2 linked regions of the Anolis sagrei genome follow. The protein of the gene in region 1 binds, or shares a complex with, the protein of each later gene. Links are inferred from orthologs where the notes say so. Each region holds a gene or a part of one and is shown on either strand. Other genes may lie near its edges.

Region 1 (3,749 bases):
CCTCGCATGGGAAGCTGGAGCTGACAAATGGGAGCTCACCCCATCTTGTAGATCTGAACTGCCAACATTCAGGTTAGCAGTTCAGCCGGCACAACATTGCGCCACCATGGCTGCTTCTAATCTCTGAATGAATCAAGTATTTTTTGAACTCAGATTTGCAGCAATGGAAGTGAGCTGAGAACCAATGAGGGAGGAAAAGGAACCTGGACATTTTAATAGTTGGAACGGCAGAGGATTAATATCAACTCCCACAATTCCTAAATGATAATAATAAAAATCTTTGCTGGTGGGAGGAGATTAAGTCAGCCACCCTTCCCGACCCTATAAGGAAATGGCAGGATTTGAACCCGTGCCCTCCTGTCACCCCGTTCTTTGCCTCTGGGTCTAAAATGCTCTTGTGGTCACCTGGCCATTGTAGTCCTTCCGGTGGCTTTTCTTCCAGAGCTGCCACTGAGAGTCCAGCGTCTCGTCTGGGTAGCCGGTGGCCATGGTGGCCGGAAAGAGGGCGGCCAGTGCCAAGGGTGCCCACCACATCCTGGAAAAGCTGCAAAGAGGAAGGAAGGAAGGAAGGAAGGAAGGAAGGAAGGAAGGAAGGAAGGAAGGAAGGAAGGAAGGAAGGAAGGAAGGAAAGAGGAATAGGAGAGAGAGAGGGTGGAGAAAGGAAAGAAAGAAAGAGGAAGGATGGAGGGGGTTAGAAAAAGGAAGGAAATAGGAAGGAAGGAAGGAAGGAAGGAAGGAAGGAAGGAAGGAAGGAAGGAAGGTGAAAAATAGGAAAGAGGGAGGGAGGAGGGGAAGGAAGGAAGGGATTAGAAATAGGAAGGAAGGAAGGAAGGAAGGAAGGAAGGAAGGAAGGAAGGAAGGAAGGAAGGTGAAATAGGAAGGAAGGGGGAAAAGGAGAGAGAGATGGAGAAACAAAGGAAAGAGAGAGGAAAGAAGGAAGAAAGAAGAAATAGGAAGGATAGAGAAATAGGATGGAAGGAGGGAGGGATGGAGGAAGAAGGAAGAAAAGAAGGGAGGGAAGAGAAATAGGAAGGAAGGAGAAAAAGAAAAGAGAGATGGAGGAATGAAGGAAAGAGAGAGGAAAGAAGGAAGGAAGGAGAAATAGGAGGGAAAGAGGGAGGGATGGAGGAAGGAAGGAAGGAAGGAAGGAAGGAAGGGATGAGAAAAAGGAAGGAAGGAAGGTGAAATAAGGAGAAATGGGAGAGAGGGTTGGAGGAAGGAAGGAAAGAGAGAGGAAAGAAGAAAGGAAGGAGTTAAAAATAGGAAGGAAGGTGAAATAGGAGAGAGGGATGAAGGAACGAAGGAAAGAGAGAGGAAGGAAGGAAGGAAGGAAGGAAGGAAGGAAGGAAAGAGAGAGGAAAGAAGAATGGAAGGAAGGAAGGAGTTAAAAATAGGAAGGAAGGTGAAATAGGAGAGAGGGATGAAGGAACGAAGGAAAGAGAGAGGAAGGAAGGAAGGAAGGAAGGAAGGAAAGAGAGAGGAAAGAAGAATGGAAGGAAGGAAGGAGTTAAAAATAGGAAGGAAGGTGAAATAGGAGAGAGGGATGAAGGAACGAAGGAAAGAGAGAGGAAGGAAGGAAGGAAGGAAAGAAGGAAGGAGAAATAGGAGGGAAGAAGGGAGGGATGGAGGAAGGAAGAAAGGAACAAAGGAAGGAAGGAAGGGAAGAGAAGAAGGAAGGAAGGAAGGAAGGAAGGAAGGAAGGAAGGAAGGAAGGAAGGTGAAATAGGAAGGAAGGAAGGTGAAATAGGAAGGGAGGAGAAATAGAGAGATGGATGGAGGAAGGAAGGAAGGAAGGAAGGAAGGAAGGAGAGAGGAAAGAAGGAAGGAAGGAGTGAAAAATAGGAGGGACAAAGGGAGGAGGGAAAGGGAGGAAAGGGTGAGAAAAAGGGACAAATGCAGTTATCACATGTTGATTATACTATAGAGTTATCACTTGAACGGCCACTTCTGGGATGTCTAGTTTGATGGAGGGACGTAGACGCTACAATTCCCAGGGGAGAATGTCTATGGAGCTGGAAAGGAAAGGAAGGAAATGGGGAGGAGAGGAAGAGGGGCAAAGGGGTGCAGTTTGACTCCACTTGGGACTGCGTTGGGCTCGAGAAGGCTAAAGACCTGGCCAAACTACAACTCCCGGGATGGTCCTTACTCACCTCTGTGGGTTCTGCTGCTGGATCTGGTCTTCTTGCAAGGAGGGAACCCGAACAGGAGGGATCTTGGCAGCCTTTGGGTTTTTATGCAGGTTTTGGGGAAGTCTGGCCTGCAAATGGAAAAAATGCCCAGTTTGTCTCCGGCAAGCTTTACTCAGATTTCTCGAAGGCGAAGAGGAGGAAGAGGAGGGGAAAGAGGAGGGGAAGGCCTCTCACATGATCCTCTTGGCAAAGGATCACATCTGGATCTCAAAGGAAGCGGGGAAACATCTGGAGGCTTGCCGCTGAGATTCAGCCGTTTGTGCATTTTTGCAGGCCTTCAGATTCACAATTTGGAAAGGTGTGTCTACACTGTACGATTAATGCAATTTGGCACCACTTTAACAGCGATGGAAATCCTGGGATTTGTAGTCCGGCACCAAACTCTCTTTGGCAAAGGAGGCCTTGCAAAATGGCAACTCCCAAAAGTCCATAGCATTGAGCACTTGCAGTCCAAGTGGTATCGAACTGTGTTAATTCAACAGTGGAGACGCAATCATAGTTCCCCATCGTGGTCCCTGTGAATTGCACAGGGAATTTGCCACCAAATTGGCATCAGAATGAGGAACCTCAAAAATCCCCGTCATCTCTTACTCTAAGTATGGTATATACATGTATGTGTGTGCGTGTGTGCATGTGTGTATAAAAGGTAAAGGCTTTCCCCTGAGATTAAGTCCAGTCATGCCCGGATCTGGGGGTTGGTGCTCATATCTAAGCTGAAGAGCCGTCGTTGTCCATAGACGCCTCCTAGGTCATGTGGCCAGCATGACTGCATGGTGCGTCCTTACCTTCCCGATGGAGTGATATCTATTGATCTACTCACATTTGCATGTTTCCAAACTGCTGGGGCTAACAGCAGGAGCTCACCCAGCTCCCCGGATTTGAACCGGTGACCTTTTGATCAAGTTCAACAGCTCAGCGGTTTAACCCACTGCACCACTGTGTGTGTATATATATATATGTGTGTGTGTGTGTGTGTATAAAACCACATACACACACACACACACATGTATATGTATGTGTTCTTGTGGAAACAAGAACAGGAGAAGAGATGAGTCCACCTTGATTCACCCTCCATGTATATGTATATATGTGTGTATATGTGTGTATGGTCCATGGTAACAAAAACAGAAGAGATGAGTCCACCTTAATTCACCCTCCATGTATATGTGTATGTATACTGTATGTGTGTGTGTGTGTGTGTGTGGTCCATGGTAACAAAAAAGAAGAGATGAGTCCACCTTGATTCACCCTCCATGTATATGTTTGTGTATACTGTATATTTGTGTGTATATATATATGTGTATGTATATTTATATACATACATACATATGTATGTGTGTGTATTTATGTATATATATGTATATGTGTGTGTGTGTATAGTCCATGGTAACAAGAACAGGAGAAGGGATGTGTCCACCTTGATTCACCCTCCATGTATATGTATGTGTGTACTGTATATGTATGTATGTGTGTGTGTGTATGTATGTGTGTGTGTATATACATGTGTGTGTGTGTGTGTGTGTGTGTGTGGTAGCAAAAACAGAAGACATGAGTCCACCT
Region 2 (3,749 bases), on another chromosome or scaffold:
CGGCAACAGAGTAGCATAGCGCAAAGGCAGATGTCTTCACTGTGTCTGGTTGTGATCCCCAGGTTGTGCCAGTCAGCTTTCATATGATATTGTTTCTAGCACCCACTTTTTGCTTGATATTCAGGCAGCACTTCTTGTAGGTCAGAGCACGGACAAGGGTGACTCCCAGGTATTTGGGTGTGCTGCAATGCTGGGATTCCTTCCCAGGTAATCCTCAGAGCTTGGGATGCTTGTCTGTTCTTAAGGTGAAAGGTGCATATCTGTATTTTAGATTTATTTATTTATTTAAAAGTTTTGTATACTGACCTTCTCACCTCTTTTGAGGGACTCAGACCGGTTTCCAACCATAAAATCACATACAGTCAGTAAAACAACATAATTCATATTACAATAACACATTAAAACAGCAAATATATTCAATAACTACAATGGTCAGTCGTCATACTAAAATCGATTATACATCATCTGCCATCCATATCTCAGGGTGTTGGCTCACTCATCGAATGCCTGCCTCCATAACCACGTCTTTACCTGTTTCCTGAATGTCAGGATAGAAGGGGCGGTTCTGATCTCCAGTGGGAGAGAGTTCCAGGGTCGTGGGGCCACCACCGAGAAGGCCCTGTCCCTCGTCCCCACCAGATGTGCTTGCGAGGCCGGTGGGACCGAGAGCAGGGCCTCTCCAGACGATCTTAATGATCTTGATGGTTCATAGGGGAGAATACGTTCGGAGAGGTAAACAGGGCCGATGGATTAGGGATCAGCTGGTTTTGCTGTAGTAGGCGGTAAGGGCACCTAGAGCTTCGGAGAGCTTCTGTTCTACCATCTGAAAGCTCCCTGCTTGAGCAGTAATGGCATGATCATCTACATAGATGAAACTTTCTGTCCCTTCTGGCAGTGGCTGGTCATTTGTGTAGATGTTGAACATGGATGGAGCAAGCACACTCCCCTGAAGCAGGCCGTTCTTCTGTTTTCGTCATTTACTTCTCTGGTTCTGGAACTCAACAAAAAAGCTCCTGCTTTGTAGCAAGTTTCCTATGAGGCAGGTGAGGTGGTAGTCCTTTGTGATATTATACATTTTTCTCAGGAGGAGGCGGTGGTTCACAGTATCATAAGCTGCTGACAAGTCTATGAAGACAGCTCCTGTGATCTGCTGTCTTTCGAAGCCATCTGCTATGTGCTGAGTCAGGTTCAGCACTTGCGATGTGCAGCTTTCGCCTTTCCTGAAGCCAGCTTGCTGTGGGATCAGACATGGGTCTATTTTTTTTCCATAATTCTATGCAAAATAAGTCTCTCCAGAACTTTGTAGAGGTGACAAAACAGGGAGATTGGTCTACAGTTCCTCAGCCAGCTGGAAGATAGAGGAGCCCATCTCTGCCCAGGCTGCAAGTCACAGTCAACCTGCCCTGGGGAAGTGGCCCAGTGACTCACCAGGGCCTGAGAGAGAGCCACAACCTCCTCGGCCTCTCGCCTGGAAAAACACAGCTCGCCTGGGGCGGGGCGCCTGGGCCGGGGCTCCGCCTTCCCTTGCCTGGGCGGGACCCGCAGCAGCACTTGGGCTTCCCTCCGGGGTCTGGCAGGCGCAGTCGGTCTCCTCTCGCCGCGCAAGGATGGCTCTCTTCGGGTGGATCGATCTGTGGTTCGTTCTCTCTCTCGGCGTGGCGCTGGCCACCGGGCAGTCCCGGACCGGGCAGCGGATGGTGGGGGCGCCCATCCAGGTCTCCGCCGACGACGAGGGCGTGCAGCAGGCCCTCCGCTTCGCCATGAACGAGTACAACCGGGCCAGCAACGACCAGTACGGCAGCCGCGTCGCCGAGGTCCTCAGCGTCAGCAAGCAGGTACGGAAAGCGAGCAGGCCGCTCTGGCCCTCAGCACCAGGCTGGAGGGAGCCCAAGGCTCCCCTATATTGTAGGGGCAATGCAGCTTTTGATCTTGTTTATTTATATTACCAAAATATTAAGAATACAAATGATTATATTATGCAAAATTATTTTGTTTATATAAATAATATTATGTATTTATTATTAAATATTATTATTATTATTAAATATATTATTATATAATATTAATATATTATATAATATATTTTATATTACCTCTCTAATTTGATTTTATTATTCAGAGCCGGTGTTGTCCATAAACATCTCCAAGGTCATGTGGCTGGCATGACTGCATGGAGCGCCATTACCTTCCTGCTGAAGCGGTACCTATTGATCTACTCACACTTGCACTGTTAGGTTGGCAAAAGCAGGGCCTAACAGCAGGAGCTCACCCTGCTTCCCGGATTCGAACCACCAATCTTTCAGTCAGCTGTAATACAGTAAAATAAATAACAACACAGGTTGCCCCCAGTTGTGCAGCAGGTTAAGCTGCTGAACTTAGTTATTTATTTATTTATTTCACAGTTTTCTATACCGAGCTTCTCAACCTCATTGAGGGACTCAGCCTGGTTTCCAGCCATAAAAACATATACACTCATTAAAATATCATATATCACAATTACAAAAACAACTTTAAAAACACTATATATAAAACTACAGTGGTCAGTCGTCCTATTAAGATGGATCTACATCAACTTGCTGACTGAAAGGTTGGTGGTTCAAATCAGTGGAGAAGGATGAGCTCCTGCTGTTAGGCCCAACTTCTGCCAACCTAGCAGTTTAAAAATATGCAAATGTGAGTAGATCAATAGGTACCACTTTGGTGGGAAGGTAACGGTGCTCCATGCAGTCATGCTGGCCACATGACCTTGGAGGTGACTATAGACAATGCCGGCTCTTAGGCTTAGAAACTGAGATGAGCACCACCCCCCAGAGTTGGACACAACTAGACTTAATGTCAAGGGGGAACCTTTACCTTTAGTTACAGTGAACCTTTGTTATCTGCTGGGGTTTGATTCCAGGACACTCCTGGATACCAAAATCTGTGTTTTGCTCCATTCTCATTATATACATGGGTAGTCAAATATGGTCCCTTATATACAATGGCAAAACCAAGGTTTGCTTTTTGTATTGTTTAAAAAAATATATTTTCAAGCCATGGATGCAGGATCCATTGATATGAAGAGCTGAGTGTAGTCAGTATGTAATATCTGCAGTAGGCTGGGCTCTTTCCAGCCTTTTCAGGGTCCTCGATACACACGGAAAGACATATCAGTGTATATAAATGTCTTCTGCAAGGGATCTCATCAGACAGAGCTTGGGAAACATCCTTTCCTGCCGGTCCAGGTCATAATTACTAAGTCCCCCCCCCCCCCCCCGGTCCCCGGTCCCCAGTTTTTCCACATGAGAGCCTTGCAACTGGAGACTAAAACAAGCCCAGTGCCAATGAGTTGTGTCACCCATGTTTTGTGAACTCTCTATGAGTTTGCCATATTTCTCTCTTCCCCTTTGCTCTTCTTCCATTAATAGGAACTGGGAATACAGAAATAATTCCACTCATATTTTTTTCTAGCAGGCATGTTGAGGGGAAAGTTTTGTCCCCAAACCTCTGCTTTGTTGTTGAAATATGCCTTTAAGTTGACTCATGATGATACTGCCCTAGGGTTTGTGTGATAAGATGTATCACTGACTTCCTCTTAGGCTACACTGGTCATTGTATGCATCTTAACACGCTCCCACAAAAAGGTGTGAAAGAATGCCCTTAATGCTCCTTAGTGGCCATCTGGGCCGCATTGTAGTTCTGGGATTTCTTATGTAATCATCTGCACACCAAAAACACATTGTCAATAAAGATGGGGATTCTGACAGAGA

What was found.
Region 2: the proteins of cathepsin K (region 1) and cystatin-like are in contact, whole or in part, in a crystal structure (PDB 8V57), measured with the Mus musculus proteins. The link is inferred for Anolis sagrei from reciprocal best matches to the Homo sapiens genes CTSK and CST3. Residues at the interface, in NP_031828.2 of Mus musculus: Asn132, Gln133, Gly134, Gln135, Cys136, Gly137, Cys139, Trp140, Glu173, Asn174, Tyr175, Cys177, Gly178, Gly179, Gly180, Tyr181, Met182, Ser248, Ala251, Ser252, Gln257, Phe258, Val274, Asn275, His276, Ala277, Ser297, Trp298, Ser301, Trp302; in NP_034106.2 of Mus musculus: Pro27, Arg28, Met29, Leu30, Gly31, Ala32, Pro33, Gln75, Leu76, Val77, Ala78, Val80, Asn81, Tyr122, Pro125, Trp126, Lys127, Thr133.

What each region holds. Positions count from the first base shown.
Region 1 is NC_090032.1:4,990,842-4,994,590, forward strand, and holds the start of cathepsin K, read right to left. Parts: upstream 2,332-3,749; 5' UTR 2,151-2,331; intron 545-2,150; 5' UTR 535-544; coding exon 406-534; intron 1-405. UniProt on the Homo sapiens protein: Thiol protease involved in osteoclastic bone resorption and may participate partially in the disorder of bone remodeling. Displays potent endoprotease activity against fibrinogen at acid pH. May play an important role in extracellular matrix degradation.
Region 2 is NC_090024.1:140,461,155-140,464,903, reverse strand, and holds the start of cystatin-like, read left to right. Parts: upstream 1-1,540; 5' UTR 1,541-1,607; coding exon 1,608-1,835; intron 1,836-3,749. UniProt on the Homo sapiens protein: As an inhibitor of cysteine proteinases, this protein is thought to serve an important physiological role as a local regulator of this enzyme activity.